2 linked regions of the Tamandua tetradactyla genome follow. The protein of the gene in region 2 purifies or fractionates together with the protein of the main gene of each other region. This does not show direct contact. Links are inferred from orthologs where the notes say so. Each region holds a gene or a part of one and is shown on either strand. Other genes may lie near its edges.

Region 1 (8,187 bases), on a different chromosome or scaffold from region 2:
AAGGGTTAGACTATGGACATATCTTTTTGGGTGACACAAGTCAAAGTTCAGAGAAGCCATGCAACTAGTCTCAGTGGTGAGGGAGGGCAGGTTCTGGTCAGCCAGAGCCCACACCCTTGGCCACTAGATGTTCTTGCCACTAGAATGGTCTTCCTAATATGCCAGTCTATTATGTCCCTCCACACAAGGTGGCCAAAAGAACTAAATGAGTTAATACATACAGTGCTTAAAACAGCGCCTGGCGCTTCATAAGCACCATGCAAGGGTAATTGCGGTGGCAGTATTTTTCATGCCTATCTTTCTAATTGCATCTCCCACCACCTGCTCACAGACAGTTCAGGTTCCAGCCATGCTGGTGGGGCCCCCAGATGCTGCAGCCGCCTGCACACCCCACCTCTCCACCCACAATGCATATCCCTCTCCTCATCCTCCCCCCTCCCGGTTCTCCCTACCCCTCACCTGTGAGCTCTACCTCAGGACTCAGCTCCAGGGCAGCTCTCCCAGAGATTTCTCTTGACAGGCAGGCAGAGTCGGGGTCTCCCTCTTTGGGCTTGGCAGGGCTGCCCGAGCCCCAGCACCTATCTGTTGGGGGCAAACCTCACCCACTAAGCCTGTGCAGGGACCGTGAGTTTTGGGCTTTCAACTATTTGGCCCCGCAGGGCACCAACACACTCATTTTATGGCTTTGGCTGGAGTCAGGCTCCACCTGTTTTTCCTCTTAAAGTGCACCCTGAGGGGAGGATTGTGTTTTTTAGGAAGTTTTAAATTATAGTGCCCATTACAACTGGGTTTTCCATGGTGACATCCCACAGGATTTATATTGTCCTGCAATGACCCATTGTGATCGCTGCCAAAATGAGTTAAACTTAACCACAACAAATTCAGAAATCCTATTGTCTGACTGGTTTCTCACTGATTAAATAAATGAGGTGGTGTTGACCCAGCATGTTGTAATAAACCAAAGGTTATAAATTAACTGCATTTACTTTATCCCATGTGTAGAGGTCTGAGCAACTACCATGATAAAAGAAGATGAGGCTTTAGAAAGCTGCTCCTATTGGCTTTTCACACCCTTGTCCTTTTTCTTTTCAGCCTCATCTTGGGTAAAACATGTGTGATCAAACCTTCCTGGTTAATGTATTTGGCTCGTGTGACAAATGTTTCAAACAAAGAGCTCTGAGACCAGTGTTCAAGAAATCTCAGCAACTCAACTACTGTTCTACGTGTGCAGAAATAGTAAGTGATACCTTATTATTTTATTTATTTAAGTAGTTAACCTGTCTTAAAATGATGTCTAGGATGAGGGTTCTATGACAGAGGAGTTGCCATAGAATCTGATTTAAACGACACAAACATTTCTAGCATCCCCAGGCTTTGTGAGGCAGTGTAGCATAGGGGTTTAGGGTATGGGCTCTGGTTTGTCTGACTTCCTGGGTTCAAATCCCAGTTATGTTCCTCAAAGGTGGTGTGCCCACTGGTTCTTACCTCTCTCGTTGTGTCTATATTCCCATCTGTAAAATAGCATCTATCTCTAGGATTTTGTGAGGATCAAATGAGTTATTTTGATAAAGTGTTTTAAATAGTACCCAGCAACCAAGCTAAAAGGGACTCTGGCAATTAAACTTCCTGGGAGCACTTTTAAGGGCCCTGTCCTATTAAAAGAAGATTCTATTGAAGATTCAACCATATAGGACCTCAGTACCAAGCAAAATTATGCTTAAGAAAAAGTACTCCTTGCCCTAAACCGTCAGTGGGGACTAGGAACTGGACACACCACTTGTAATTTTCAAAGTATCCCAAATCAAGTGCACTAGGACTCAGTCCTGTCTCAGAGGCTGTGTGCTCTCAGTAGTGCCGCTGGAGCAGAGCCCCAACCTGGTGAAACGTGGTAACGCACTCTCACCCAGAAGGCCAGTGGGAAAACCCGTATTATGAACACACTTAAAAATAAATGTCAAAGAGAGGAAAGTTGATTTTGCCATTTCATTCAACTGAAGAGGAACAAATTTATCTTCCTGGTTCCATTGTAATCCCTCACAGTGATTACATTAAAAAAGTTTATCTCATAAAGCTATAGCCCAAGTTGGCATAAAAACTTTGGTACAGAATAGTGACTCTGATGTCACTCCAGGAGTGGTATAATGGGCTACTACCAACAGCATACCTCACTTTGCAAGTTGTAAACTTGGCTCTGCAAATTATAAAGCTGAGGACATTCAGTTCCTAAAACAACCCTGCTTTCTAGTGGCCCTATCCTCCTGGGGCAGCGCTATATTAATCTAGCACTTCTGTTTTCTAAACGACCTCCTCAGTGTGGAAAAGAAAGAAACCCAGAATCCCAGTCATGGGATTCTCTATAGCACCATAGATTCTCCCCACGTCAGAGAGCCTGCTTGGAGATACTCTCCCAGGCAACTGTCACCAGCTGTGTTCACCACAAACACCTGGCAATTTCCCATAATTCAGACAGCAGGCGTTAGCTGAGGAGACATCCAAGTGACTATCAGCTGGGAGTTGGGGTGGTATAAACACAACCCCCAGTGGACCTTTTTCATGAGTGGGACCCTGCTGAAATGCAGCAGGCCTCAACACGGCTGATCTCCAGCTTCCTCAATTATAAAAAGGAAGCCGCTTTGCTAACTTTGCCTAGCTGTTAAAAAGTTACATGACCTTGTTATCTCTAGAGAGTAGACTTTCCAGATTGGAGGATGTTTGGAGTTTATTCTACAGAGAAAACCCCCAGAGGAGGGCACACACCAGTGTGGAGCTCCACCCACCCCAGGTCTTCAAATACAGGCAGACCCTAACCCAGGCACACACATCCCACTATGGGCCAAGACGTTCCAGCCCTGAAGCTGTGATGGGAGGATGTTGATTTGCCTGGGCCTTCTGAGATGTCCTTGTGAGAAGTGCACCTCCCTGCTTCTGTGGCCTACGGTCTCATTTAAATTACTTCATGCAAATTGCTCAAATGTATAAGGCAACTTGAATAATAATCAGTGCATACTGTGTGCCACAGATCGCTCTGAATGCTCTAAATATTAACTCTCTTGAGATCCCTATGAGGTAGCTGTACCCCTCCCCCTCCCATTTATAGATGAGGAAGCTGAGATACAGAGAAGTTAAGTAAATTCTTCAGTCACACAGCAAAGCCAGGATTTTCCCCTAGGCTGTCTGATCTAGAGCCTATGCACTTAATTTTTTGCCCTACAAATTCTGAAAGATCTAATATTTTGCTTTTATATATTATTTTAATTTTATATAAATATTTGCATCTATATAAATATATTTACTTTATTTTAATAAAATAGCTATATTTTTTCTTTTATTCTTTTTATTTACTTGTTATATATAGTTATACACACTTTATGTGTTCTGTTTTATACATTCGTTTAATAAACTAACATTAATTGAGCACCTACCATAATGCAGTAATTATGCTAAATGCCGAGAATAAACAATGAATAAAGCTGTATTGATGGAGAAGGGAGACTGGAACGGGCACATATTTACATCTACTTTGTATGGAGAAGTCTGCTAAGAGTGTATACTCACGCTATTTTTCTTAATTCTCATAACAGCCCTGTGGAGTAGATACTAGCCCCATTTCCCAGATAAGGACACTTAGAAGCTCAGAATCTAACTCCAAGCCAACTTTGTATAGATTATTGTAGATGACTTCCAGCTTTTCTCAGATAAAGACGGCTCAGGACAGCACGCAGGAGCTGGGTTCCCCAGAGAGGGGGTACAGAAAAGGGGTGCATCCAGGATTCTGCTTGGGCAATTTTCATTCTGGAATCTGAAACCTTGATCTGTTTTCCCATTTTGTGTGCACGCGCGCGCGCACACATACAAACACGTGTACACACACACACACACACACACACACACACACACACACGAAGTTGAGGACTGCATGAAGTCCAGAGACATATAGCTGAATGGAGTCAGACTGCTGCCTGGGTCAATACTGCCCCTGCTAATCTTTCTAGTAGTGTGACTGTGGGCAAGTTACCTAATCTTTCAGTGCCTCGCTTTTCTCATCTGTAAAATGGGGACAATAATAGAGCCCATTCAGAGTGATTATTGTGAGGATTAAATGATTTCCTCATATAAAGCACTTTAGTGCCTGTCACTGCAGAGAGATGGGGATGCTTGAGTCTGCCATAAAGTCACTGGATTCGCATCCTTGAGAGAACTGTAGCAACCCTTCATTCTAATGGAGAGGAAGCTGCTCGCAGTGATGCTTCAGATATCCCTGCGCTTGACCTCAGAAGCCGCTATGCGCCCTCTGCGCCCTGTCACCTCCCTTTGCTGCCCCCAGGCCAGAGACATGATTCCTGCATTAGGAAAGAAAAAGCAAAGCCAAGGGCGAGGCTCCTAATACCGCAGGACTCCGGGGTTGGTCGGAAGCCAGAACTAGTTTTATTTTTGCCTACTGAAATCGACAGAGGAGGAAAGTTTGGGTTGTAGGTGGGGCAGCCGAAGCTCCTCACTTGACTGGTGCTACCGAGATCAGGCCGGGTATTAGCCGCGCAGGCCAAGCTTCATTGCCCTCTTCTCTCCAGTCTGCCTTTGCAAACAGAAATCCCTGAGCCGTGTATCAAGTCCCATTGGAGGAGCGGGGGCCCTGGGGAGGGGCAGGGGGAGGTTTGTGCTGTGTCATTGGGACTCCTCAGGTTGCCCAGGAGCCAGGCAGTCGTGGGTTCGAATCCCAGCTTGTCCTCACTGTGTGTGCGTCACCTGCAAGTCACGTATCATCTCGAGCCTCAGTTTCCCCACCTATAAAATAGGCGTGGCACTGCCTGCCTCCCCACGGTGATGTGCGCACAGAGGTACCGCAGATATCGCACCAAGCACTGCGCCAGGGCGCGCGCGCAGCGGGTGGGGGGACAAAGGGTTCAGGACGCAGAGAGGGTGCAAGGCGCGGAGGAGGCGCCGGTACCCGCGGGCGAGACCCGCAGAGAAGTGGGGGGCGGCCGCAGCAGCCCGGCTCGCGGCTGACGGCGTCATCACCCGGAAGGCGGGGCCGCGCTCGGGAGAGACCCGGACTGGAGCTGCGCCCGCCGCCGCTCAGCACCCGCGGGTAGACGCGACCTCCTCCGCCGGCTCACCCCCATCCCTCTCTCTGCTTCCCTCCTGCCGCCCTCCCGAGAAGATGGCAACCGACGGGCTGCACGAGAACGAGACGCTGGCGTCGCTGAAGAGCGAGGCCGAGAGCCTCAAGGGCAAACTGGAGGAGGAGCGGGCCAAGCTGCACGACGTGGAGCGTGAGTGTGGGCCGGGCGGGACCGGGCGCGGGAGGCGGGCAGCGGGGAGCGGGGAGCGGGGAGGGGTCGCGGCAGCCGGCACACTGGCGGCCTCGCCTGATCCGGGCCGAGTAAACAGGACAGGCTTCTAGTACCGGGTGAGGGCGGCCAGGGCCTGGGGTGGGGAGCAAGGCCCGCGCCACCGCCGTGGGGTGGGGACCCCTGGGTGCCTGGACGCTCCTCTAGGGCGCATGTAGCGAGCGCCGGCCTCCCGGGCGCGGGGGTTTCGGCCCGCAGCGGAGCCGGCCCTCGCAGCGTCCCGGCACCCAGCCGAGCGTCAGCCCGCCCTCTGGCGGAGGTTGGCCCGCCCCTGGGCGGAGACGCTTGGTTGCTGCAGGCCCTGGCCGCTGTCACTCCGACGGAGGATCTTGGGACTAGTTACCCTCACCGGCCTGGAAGATGCTAAATAATTTCTGTTCTGACTTTGGGGGGGGGGTTGTGGAGGGAACGGGGGTGGGGGTGGGAGGGAACCGGTGGAAGCATGGCTCAGTGACGTCAAACACACAGAGCCGGTGTGGGTCTTGGCCTAGGATAAACTCCTGTTTCGTTTTATAATCTTTCGACTTTCTTCATCACTGTTGTCTTTTCTCAGTTTTGCTTTTTCAAGAAGCCAGACTCTGATTTAAAAGTTAATTTCTTCAACCCTCCAGCCCCCGCCCCAACCTCCTTTGGGGCTGGATGTGGGAAGACCATTAATCCGATCATTTAATTCATTAAGATTGTTTAAGAAAGTTTTTGAAAAGAGTGGTGTGATTAGCATGAAAGGACAATAGCAATCTTAATCTTAAACTTACATTATTGACCAGCACCATAATTCAGAGCCTACTCTGTGAATTTTCTGAGTGAGAATTAAATAGGTTAAATGACTCTTAGTGGGTCAGTTTCCCTTTTACTCCGTTAGATGGTTTTATCCTCAGTGGAGCTTGGGCTAAGGGCCAGGCTTGGGGGGTAGTCTTCCCTGCTTTTCAGCTCTGAGGCTGGTAGCTCTCCTTAGCTGAGCAAGGTCTCCCCACTGTCCCCTTATCACACCTATACATTGTGCTTCTCAGTGGCAGGAAGACAAAACAACTTGCCCAAGGACCCCCGCCTCCTAGTGGCGTCAGGATTCCAGCCCTGGCTCACTTCCGCTTTTTTGCTGGATCCCTTTATACTTTACACAGATGGGAGTTTTCCAGAAACTCATATACTTGTAAGTGTGAGCTGCTTGGGTGGCACTGTGCCCACTGGGGTGTTTTTCGGTCTTTTCTGTGAATTTGTCAGTTGCCACATGTGTTAGTTTGCTAGCTGCGGGAATGTGATATACCAGAACTTAATGTCTTTTTAAAAAGGGAATGTATTAAGTTGCAAGTTTATGGTTCTAAGGCCATGAAAATGTCCAAATTAAGGCAAGGCTATGAAAATGTCCAAACTGAGGTATCCAAGGAACGATACCTTGGTTCAAGAAGGCTGATGATGTTCAGGGTTTCTCTCTCAGCTGGAAAAGCACATAGTGACGTCTGCTGGCTTTTTCTCCTCGTTTCATAAAGCTTCTTCTACGGCTTCCCCAGGGCTCTGTCTGTTCTGTTGGCTCTATCGGTTCTGGTGGCTCTAAAGCTTTTTCAAAAATGGGTCCCTCTTAAAGGGCTCCACTAGCAACCCCATCTTTAATGGGTGCAGACATATCTCCATGGAAACCATCCATTCAAAAGTTACCACCCACAATTGGGTGGATCACATCTCCATGGAAACAATAAAAAAGATTCCACCTAGCAATATTAAATGAGGATTAAAGAACATTGCTTTGCTGGTGTACATAATAGCTTCAAACTGGCACACCATGAAATGGAGCTTCTGGGAGCCCCAGGGAAGTTTGGTCAGTCCAAATGAGGACACTATTGCTGTCCTCTCTACGGGTACAGTGCCCTCAGGAGCCAAGGTCAGATTTTGGATCCACAATGGAAAGGTCTACTTCCATCTGTGTTTAAGTCAGAACTTTTTTTTTAAATTAATTTAAAAATTAAAAAAAAAAATATAACAACAAACACAGTCTTATCTTATCATTATTCCGTTCTACATATGTAATCAGTAATTCACAATATCATCACATAGTTGCATATTCATCATCATGATCATTTCTTAGAACTTTTGCATCAATTTGGAAAAAGAAATAAAAAGAAAACAGAAAAAAATTCACATATACCATACCCCTTATCCCTCCCTTTCATTGATCACTAGCATTTCAATCTTTGTTCCCCCTATTATTTATTTTTATTCCATGTGTTTTACTCGTCTGTTGATAAGGTAGATAAAAGGAGTATCAGATACAAGGTTTTCACAGTCACACAATCACACTGTGAAAGCTGTATCAGTATACAGTCATCTTCAAGAAACATAGCTACTGGAACACAGCTCTACATTTTCAGGCAGCTCCCTCCAGCCTCTCCATTACATCTTGACTAACAAGGTGATATCTATTTTATGCATAAGAATAACCTCCAGGATAACTTCTGGACTCTGTTTGGAATCTCTCAACCATTGACACTTTATTTTGTCTCATTTCACCCTTCCCGCTTTTGGTCCAGAAGATTTTCTCAATCCCTTGATGCTGAGTCTCAGTTCATTCTAGGATTTCGGTCCCACATTGCCAGGAAGGTCCACACCCCTGGGAGTCATGTCCCATGTAGACAGGGGGAGGGCAGTGAGTTTGCTTGTTGTGTTGGCTGGAGAGAGAGGCCACATCTGAGCAACAGAATAGATTCTCTTGGGGGTGTAGGTCAGAACTTTTGAGTTGAAAAGTCATGTGATCCCAAAGTCACGTGGATCGGGGAAGTCATGTGATCCACCCACCCTGGATCACTGAACAGGTTCAGAGAGTTAAGTGAGTTTCCCAAAATGAGCT
Region 2 (8,212 bases):
GGTTTTGAGGGTCAAGTAGGAGTTGATAATACCTGGAAAGGACTCATTCACCTCTATCTCTGGACAACTATGGGCTGTTGGGAGGTGGAAAAGGGGAAAAGGGATGGCTTCTCTCTTGGGGCGTCTCTGTGAGAGGGAGTGGGGCAGGGGGAGCCCAGGATGACCCTCAGCTGTTCCAATCCAGTATTTTTTTTTAATTACTGTATTTATTATGACGATGGTGACTCCCCAGTGCACAGGGGAGCCCTGTGTGTTTCTCTCGCCTCTTTGTAAATAAATGCACAGTGTCACACATGTGGTGGACTCTCATTCTCTAGGGAAATGGGAGAAATAAATGCTCTTCTGCCTCTGGACTAAAATTTATGGTACAATCACTGTTTGCTTTGGAAATGGTAGTCCCCAGAGAGATCTGCGGGTGGTCTCAACATCATCTTCCTATCACTGGCTCTTTTTACTACAATGAATCTAAATTTTGCTTGAGTTATGTTTTGGTCATAAATACAATATCATGAAAATGGAAACAACATAGATAGAGGGATAGATCCCAAATCCCCTCTTTCAATCTCAGTGCCTTCCCCAGAAATTATCATAACAGTTTGATGTGCATCCTTGCATGGTTTTCTTTATGTGTTTGCATACATATACAAATATAAATAACCACATAAATATGTGTATATATAAAACGATGTATAGTTATACTATATGTGTTATATACATAACTATTTATATTAATGTAAATTGGACTATACATTTGCCTTTACTCCCTTTGGCAGGTGGTTTCATTGTGGGAAGGATTTTCATTAAGGATTGACTTTCTTCGATGAGTATAACACTATATAGTTTTTCTATTTCTTCTTGTGTCAGTTTTGCTAAGTTATAGTCATCTAGGAATTGTCCGCTTCATCTAAATTCAGATGACATTTTCCCATCAATATATTATTACCAGCTGCATGAGAGTCCATTGTAGCAATCCAATTTTGTCAACAATCGAGATTTTTGGCTATTACATGCCTTGCTATAGTGAACATACTGGCATAACCTTTCTGTGCATATATGTTTTTCTGTAGGATCCATTATAGAATGCTCATTTAAAAATTTTTACTTGATACTCCAACATTTACTCCCGTTAAGGCTGTCTCAATTAGCATTTACAAAAGCAATTTGTGTGTTTAACTTTTTTCTCTTTAGTGCAATTTTATTGAGATATAGTCACATGCTGTACAGTCCATCCAAAGTATACAACCTTAGATCACAGTATCCTCACATCAAAAGCAATTTTTGGATCCCCCTTTTTCCACCCCTTCACCAAATACCGAATGCTATTGGTCATTTTCATTTTGCCAAACTGATGGGTAAGAACAATACAGTTTTAATTAAGCCTTCTCCTTTCCTGCTTCTTTGATGTTTCCTTCTGTTTATTGGCCCCACTTGTGTTTTCTCTTATGTGAATTGCCTGTTCACATCCTTTGCCCATTTTTCTGTTGGGTAAGCCCAATAGTTATACTCATTTCATGGATGGGTAAATGGTGGCTCAGAGAGGAGCCATTACTTGCCCAGGGTCACACAGCAAGGACAGAAAGGGCCAGGACTTGACCTGATCTGACTCCAGAGTCTAAAGAATGGGTATCTGTCGCTGCTTTAACCTTTGTATTAACATGCGTGGGTGATCTCTCTGTCACATGAGCTCTGAGACAGTGGGGACAGGGCCTGCCCTGTTTACCTGTATCTCCAGTGCCCAACCAGGTACTGGGGATGGAGCAGGGAACAAAATAGAAAAAAAAAAGTCTCTCCCCTATGGAACTTCCATTCAGGTGTGTGTGTGGGGGTAAACTTATTTCTTTTAGAGTAATAATCAATGAAAGTTATTTTTAAAAGTTTACTAAGGGGTGGGCCACGGTGGCTCAGCAGGCAAGAACGCTTGCCTGCCGTGCCAGAGGACCCAGGTTCGATTCCCGGTGCCTGCCCATGTATATATATATAAAAAAAACTTACTAGGAAAAGCCATTGCTTGTCAAGTCCCCTTGGGAATCGTTGCCCCATTTCCATTCCACAAAATGTATAACTGAGGCCAGAAAGGGCAAGGGTCTTATCTAAGGCTAAGTAGGTGACTCAGTGGTCAAATAAATAAATATTAATGACTTCTTTTCATTTGTAAAGAAAGGAAATGAAATAAAATAATTAAAAAATAACAGCTAACACTAATTGGGCACTTGTTAAATGCGAGATTCTATTCTCAACGCTTTGCATATGTTAACACATTTAATCTTCACAATCTCATGGGGCAGATGCTATTATGATGCCCATTTTACAGATAGAAAAACTGAGGCACAGAGAGGTTAAGTAATTTATCTGAAGCTACTTGATGGCAAAGCCAGCATTTAAATGCATGTGTCTTTTCTCCGGAGTCCATGCTCTTAGCACTACCCTAAATAGCCTATTAGCAGGATGGATTCTCTCTAGAAGGATACACAAGGAACTGGGGGTCGGAGGGGAGGAGAGAATGTTGACATAATAAATTAAGTTCTTTATTTGTTAAGGGTGATGAAGACCATGGGGGCAAAACTGAGAAGGGGATATGGGGGCATCCAGATTGGGGGACAGAAGTGTTGGTAATTTTGAGTATAGTGATCACGGATGGTCTGATTGAGAAGGTGACATTTGAGACCAGAGGGAGGTGGGTGCTTGCAGCTTGTAGCTATCTTTTTTTTTTCCCCAAAAAGAGAAAGAATTTATTACTAGGCACATAGTAGGAGAACAAAATCTGTCTCCCCAAGTTTAGGGGGTTCAAGGTTTTTAAGAATTTTAGCAAGGGGAGATGAGGTTATTTTGAATTGCAGGTTCAAAGCAGAAAAGGAGACAGTGTTATCTTTATCATTTCCATAGAACATAAGCTAAAAGGAGGGGAGGCAGAGCTATCACTTCAATACTAAAGGTGTAAATCCAAAGGAAGGGAGACAAGTTGCCTTTCAACAGCTGAGTCTAGCTGATTTACAAATGTCCAGGGCTAAAACTAGTTAATGGCTGACTCCAAACTCTTCATTAGCATTAGGGCCTTTGCCCAACAAGAAAATGACCAGATGAGGGGCATAATAGCTCTTACAGTTACAAAGTCACCAGAAAAGGGCTTTAACAATCATTTCAGCTATCAGGGCAGCTCAATTATAGTTTAGGGATTTCAGGTATTCCCCTCTGTCTACTACAATATCCCAGAAAGCAAAAAGGAATATGATTCAGTAATCAAAATCATTCCTTAAATCCTAATTCCTTAGTTACAGTGCTACAGGATTATCATCTCTCCATTTATTCAAGCTGTTTTAGAGTGCCCCAGGTAAAGGATTTAGTTTTTACTTTCTTCATTTAAGTTCAGCTTGCAGCTATCTTGAGGAAGAGTATCCCAGGCAGAAGGGTCAGTCTGTGCAAAGGCCCTGAGGCACAACTGTGCCTGGCATGCTGGCAAAATGGCAAGGAGACCAGTGTGGCTGGAGCAGAGGGAGTGAGGGAGAGAGTGGCAGGTGGTGAGGTGAGAGATGGGAGACAGCCACCCCATCGTGTGGGGCCCTGTGGGACCAAATGAGGATTTGGGGTTTTACTCTGAGTGAGATGGGAGCCAGTGAAGAATTCTGAGCAGAGAAGGGACTTAAGTTTCTGCATGGATCTTTTTTTTTGTAACATCTGAGATATAACTCACATACCACACCACTTACCCATTTAAAATATATGATTCAATGGTTTTTAGTATATTCATAGAGTCGCACAACCATCACTATCAATTCCAGAACATTTTAATTGCTCCAAAAAGAAACTCTGCATCCCTTATCCATTATGTCTAATCTCCCCAACTCCCAACACCTTGCAATCACTAAGCTACTTTCTGTCACTATGGAATTGCCCATTCTGGACATTTCATGTAAATGGAATCATACAGTATGTGACCTTTTATGTCTGGCTTCTTTCACTTAACATCATGTTTTTAAGGTTCACCCATGTTGCAGCATGTATCAATATTTCATTGTTTTTATTACTATTTTTCATTATTTAATTTAATTATTTCATTGTTTGTTTCTGACTAAATATCATTCCATGGTATGGATGTACCACATTTTGTTCATCCTTTCATCACGTGGAAAAAGTGAACTGTTTCCATTTTATGACTATTAGGATAATGCCATGAACATTTGCGTACAAGTTTTTGTACCCAGATTCCTCTTATTTCACCTCTCTATATATGTGGGCATCTACCTCAGATTGGGATTGCTGGGTAATTTGGTAACTCTCTCTCTATATATATATCTTTTTTTTTTTTTTCTACATGGGCAGGCACCGGGAATCGAACCCGGGTCCTCTGGTATGGCAGGCGAGCATTCTTGCCTGCTGAGCCACCGTGGCCCACCCGGTAACTCTATATTTAAATTTTTGAGAAACTCTGAGACTTCAAAAGCAGCTCCACCACTTTACATTCTCACCAGCAGTGTATGAGGTTTCTGATTTTTCTGCATCCTCGACAACACTTATTATTATCTGGGGACCTCGTTTTAAATAGGATCTCTCTTTAGGGAACAGTTTTAAACATTCTACTGGGGGTGGGGACAGACTGAAGGGGGCCAAAATGGAACCTGGGAGCCCAGAGAAGAGGTGATTACAACAGTTCAAGTGAGAGGTGGTGGTCCCGAGAGGTGACTCCTGAGAGCAAAGTGGGGGTGGCAAAGGAGGAGAGAAGTGACTGGCTTCTGGAGGTATTTTGAAGATGGAGTCAATAGGGTTTGTTGCTAGGTCAATTGCGGGGTGAAGAGGAGGGGAGTGTGTGTCCAGGATGACCTCAAAGATTTACCATCAACTGAGATGGCTAAGTCTGAGGTAGGAGCGGCTGTGGCTCAGTTTTGGACGCGTTGAGCTTGATGCATCCAGTGGAGATAACCAGCAGGCAACCGGGTATCCGATTCTAGAATTCACTGTCGGCGTTCACTTCCCATTTGTCTAATAACTTACTAAAGGCAGATCAGAATCCGAGTCCCGCATCTCAGTTTTCTCCTCTAAAAAATGGGGACAGAGAATACAACCTACTATTAGGTTTTCACGAGGCGGGGACGAGTCTCGTGCAAGCAGAGAGCAGGATTGCACGTCTGAGGGGCTGCGGTGAGCCGTAGGGTGGGGAGAAGGCTAAGATCCGCAACTCGCCAGAGACCCAGAGATAAAGGTTCGGGCCGCGTCTGTCTTTCCTTCTTCCCCCGCCCCCAGCCTCGGGCTGCCCAGCGGAGGGAACGGGGTAGGTTGGGGTCACTACCCTATCTTCCCCGGGCTCTAAGTCGGGTTTCCTCCTAGCGGGCTGCCCGGGCCAGAACTGCTGATGGAAACCAGCTGCGGGAGGTGCGGGGGCTCGGCGCACGCCCAGGCTCCTCCCCGGCGCCGGCAGACCCCGCTCTGCAGTGGGGGACAGGGCCCGCTGCCCCCCGTCCCCCTTCCGCAGCCCGGCCCGGGGCCCTGGCACGTCCGGCGCGCCTGATGCTTTCCAGATGCGGGCCCGGGTCCCCTCCCCCACCTGGCCCTGCCGCGCCCGCGGGGGAGGAGGAGGGGGAGGGAAGCCAGGGCCCAATGCCGCCCCCCTACCCCGCCCTACCAAATCTCTGCTGCGGGCCCGGGCCGGCTTCCCAGTCCAGGCCTTAGAAAGTGGGCAGACTGCAGCGGAGACGCCCCTCCCCCTCCTCCCCCTCCTCCCCCTCCGCCCCCTCCGTCCCGCGCCCCCAACTCGCCGCCGCGTCTGCTTCTCGCCCCAGGACCCGCCCCTCGGAGCACGCGCCCGCCAGACCACGCCCCTCCCGGGACACGCCCCATTCGAATGCCACGCCCCAGACGCGCCCCGCCCAGAGGCCCCGCCCCTTCCCGCCCCCGTGGGCGGTGCCGAATACTTGTCTCTTTGTTTCTCGGCTCCCGGCTGTCTCTGTGTGCCTGTCTCTCTGTCCCCGTCTCTGACCCTCTATTTCCATCTGGCACTCCTGCGTCCTCTGCTCCCTCCGTGTGTACCTCTGTCTCTCTGCAGTTCTCTCCCTGTCTCTGTCGCTCTCCCTCTCCCTCTCAGTTTTTCCGGGTCCCAGTCGATATTCCCTCTTCCTATCCAGCTCCCTTCTCCTTTCTATGCCTCCGAATCCCTCCTGGCCTCTTTCTTTCCCTGCGTCCCTGTGTCTTTCTCTGCTTCTCCCTCCGGTGGGGCTCGACCTTGTCGCGGGCGGGTGGGCGGGCCGCGGGCGCCCCCGTGCGGCTGGCGGGGGGCTGTCAGGGGAGGATAGAGGGCCGCGTGTGTGCGCGAGACCCCGTGCGACTCGAGCCCCGGAGACGCCGCGTGGGTGTGCGTGGGTGACGCCGGGAGAGGCTGTGTGACACTGAGGCCGTGTGAATGTGTAATGCTGTTAGGTGTGTGTGACAGAGAGTGTGTGTGGCTGTAACATTGTTAAGAGTCTGCGTGACACTAGAAGATTGTGTGCAGAAGGCTGCGTGGCAGGGTGAGATGATGTGGGACGAGAGATTGGGTGTGACTGTGAGAAACCCAGCGTGTGGCTGCATATGTGAGATGACATGGAGGTGACTGTGTGTGACACAGTGGGATTAGGTGCGCCTGTGACCCCATGAGATTCTCCGTGACACTGAGAGATTGTGTGGCTGTGCATGTCACCGGGAGATGGTGTGTGACTGGGTGTGCGAGAGACACTATTTGGGTGACTGTATGTGACGTCAGGAGACCATTTGTGAGAGTGAGAGTTTCAGTGTGGCAGTGCATGTGAGAGACAGTGTGTGTGCCTGCACATGACATAGAGATTTACATCACTGTGAAGTGGTACGTGTGAGAAACTGTGCAACATGGCGAGGACATAACAGCTGGTGTGTGTCACATGGGCAGACGATGCATGAGGGGAGAGACTGAATGACTGTGATATACCAAGGATGGTGTAAGAACGCGGAGTGAGAGGTGTGGGGGAGAGTGGATGTGACAGAGATGGTGACTGTGACACCACTACAGACTGTGAGGGTCAGTGTGACTGTGGGACTCTGAAGTTGTGTGTGATCCTGAGAGGTTGGCACAGCACATGTGAGACATTGCATTGTAACTGTGCATGAGTGTATGCAAAAGTGCGGGCACCTAGAGACGACAGCATGACAGATGCCTGTGCTTATATGTAAGAGAGGTGGTTGCTACGTGAGGGTGAAGACCTGGTGTGAGGTGATGCCTCTGTGTGAAACACCCAGTGTGAAGCTCAGCAATAGATTAGTTTCGTGTGTGTGTGAGAGAAACATTGTAAAATTGTGAGGGATTCTGTGAGATACTGACTGATCATGGCACCAACAGATTGTGCGTGTGACAGAGACAGACTGTGTGTGACTGTGTGTGGAGGGAAAGTGTGAGTGAATTGCACATGACCCCAGAAGATTGTGTGAGATTGTTTGTGGGAGTCACTGGTTGTGTGAGACTGTATCTGACACCATGACTGTGTGTTGCTGTGTAACATTGTAAAATATTGTAATAGTGCCTAAGGAAGAGGTTGTCTGCATAATTACACATCACCGTGTGAATCATGGAGAAATTGTGTGTGTGACTATGACAGGTGAGCCTGGGAGTTTAAATTGTATCTGGATATGTGTGACATTTTGAGAGATTGTGAGAAACCGTAAGAAACCGTGTTTGTACATTTGTCACGCTCTGAGATTGTGTGTCTGTGTGGTTGTATGAGGGGTTATTGGTGATGATGTATTACACATGAAAGTGAGTGGCCATCTGTGGCATTCTAAGAGAGGGGGTGACTGTAACCCTATGGGAGACTGTGTCAGTGTGTTGCGTGCAGGTTGTTCACAGGACTGTGTGGCACAGCGAAATGTACATCTCTGTGCAAGGGAGTGTGAGTCTGTGTGTTGCTGCTGGGGTCACACTGAGGTGACAGATGTGACTGTGTGTGACAGGGTGGGGCTGTGTGGGACACACAGAAGAGATTTGCGTGACTATGGAATAAATGCAGGGTGGGGGGCACACTTTGGGGCCACCTTGTCCTTTCTTGTGAATGTGTGTGTGTGTGTGTGTGTGTGAGAGAGAGAGAGAGAGAGAGAGGTATGGAGACAGGGACAGAGATCCAGAGGGGAGACTGGGAGAGAGACACAGAGAGACCAGGAGAGACCGAGACACAGGGAAAGAGAAGAGAGACACAAAAATAGAAAGACAAAGAGTGGGACA

Evidence for each region. The genes of interacting proteins can lie anywhere in the genome.
Region 1: the proteins of GNG8 (region 2) and GNB5 purify together in Homo sapiens (co-immunoprecipitation; 3 studies listed by BioGRID and IntAct, with this or other methods). This does not show direct contact. The link is inferred for Tamandua tetradactyla from reciprocal best matches to the Homo sapiens genes GNG8 and GNB5.

Annotation. Positions count from the first base shown.
Region 1 is NC_135340.1:67,016,961-67,025,147, reverse strand, and holds the start of GNB5 (guanine nucleotide-binding protein subunit beta-5), read left to right. Parts: upstream 1-5,031; 5' UTR 5,032-5,158; coding exon 5,159-5,270; intron 5,271-8,187. UniProt on the Homo sapiens protein: Enhances GTPase-activating protein (GAP) activity of regulator of G protein signaling (RGS) proteins, such as RGS7 and RGS9, hence involved in the termination of the signaling initiated by the G protein coupled receptors (GPCRs) by accelerating the GTP hydrolysis on the G-alpha subunits, thereby promoting their inactivation.
Region 2 is NC_135342.1:14,562,540-14,570,751, forward strand, and holds the start of GNG8 (guanine nucleotide-binding protein G(I)/G(S)/G(O) subunit gamma-8), read left to right. Parts: upstream 1-5,135; 5' UTR 5,136-5,194; intron 5,195-8,212. UniProt on the Homo sapiens protein: Guanine nucleotide-binding proteins (G proteins) are involved as a modulator or transducer in various transmembrane signaling systems.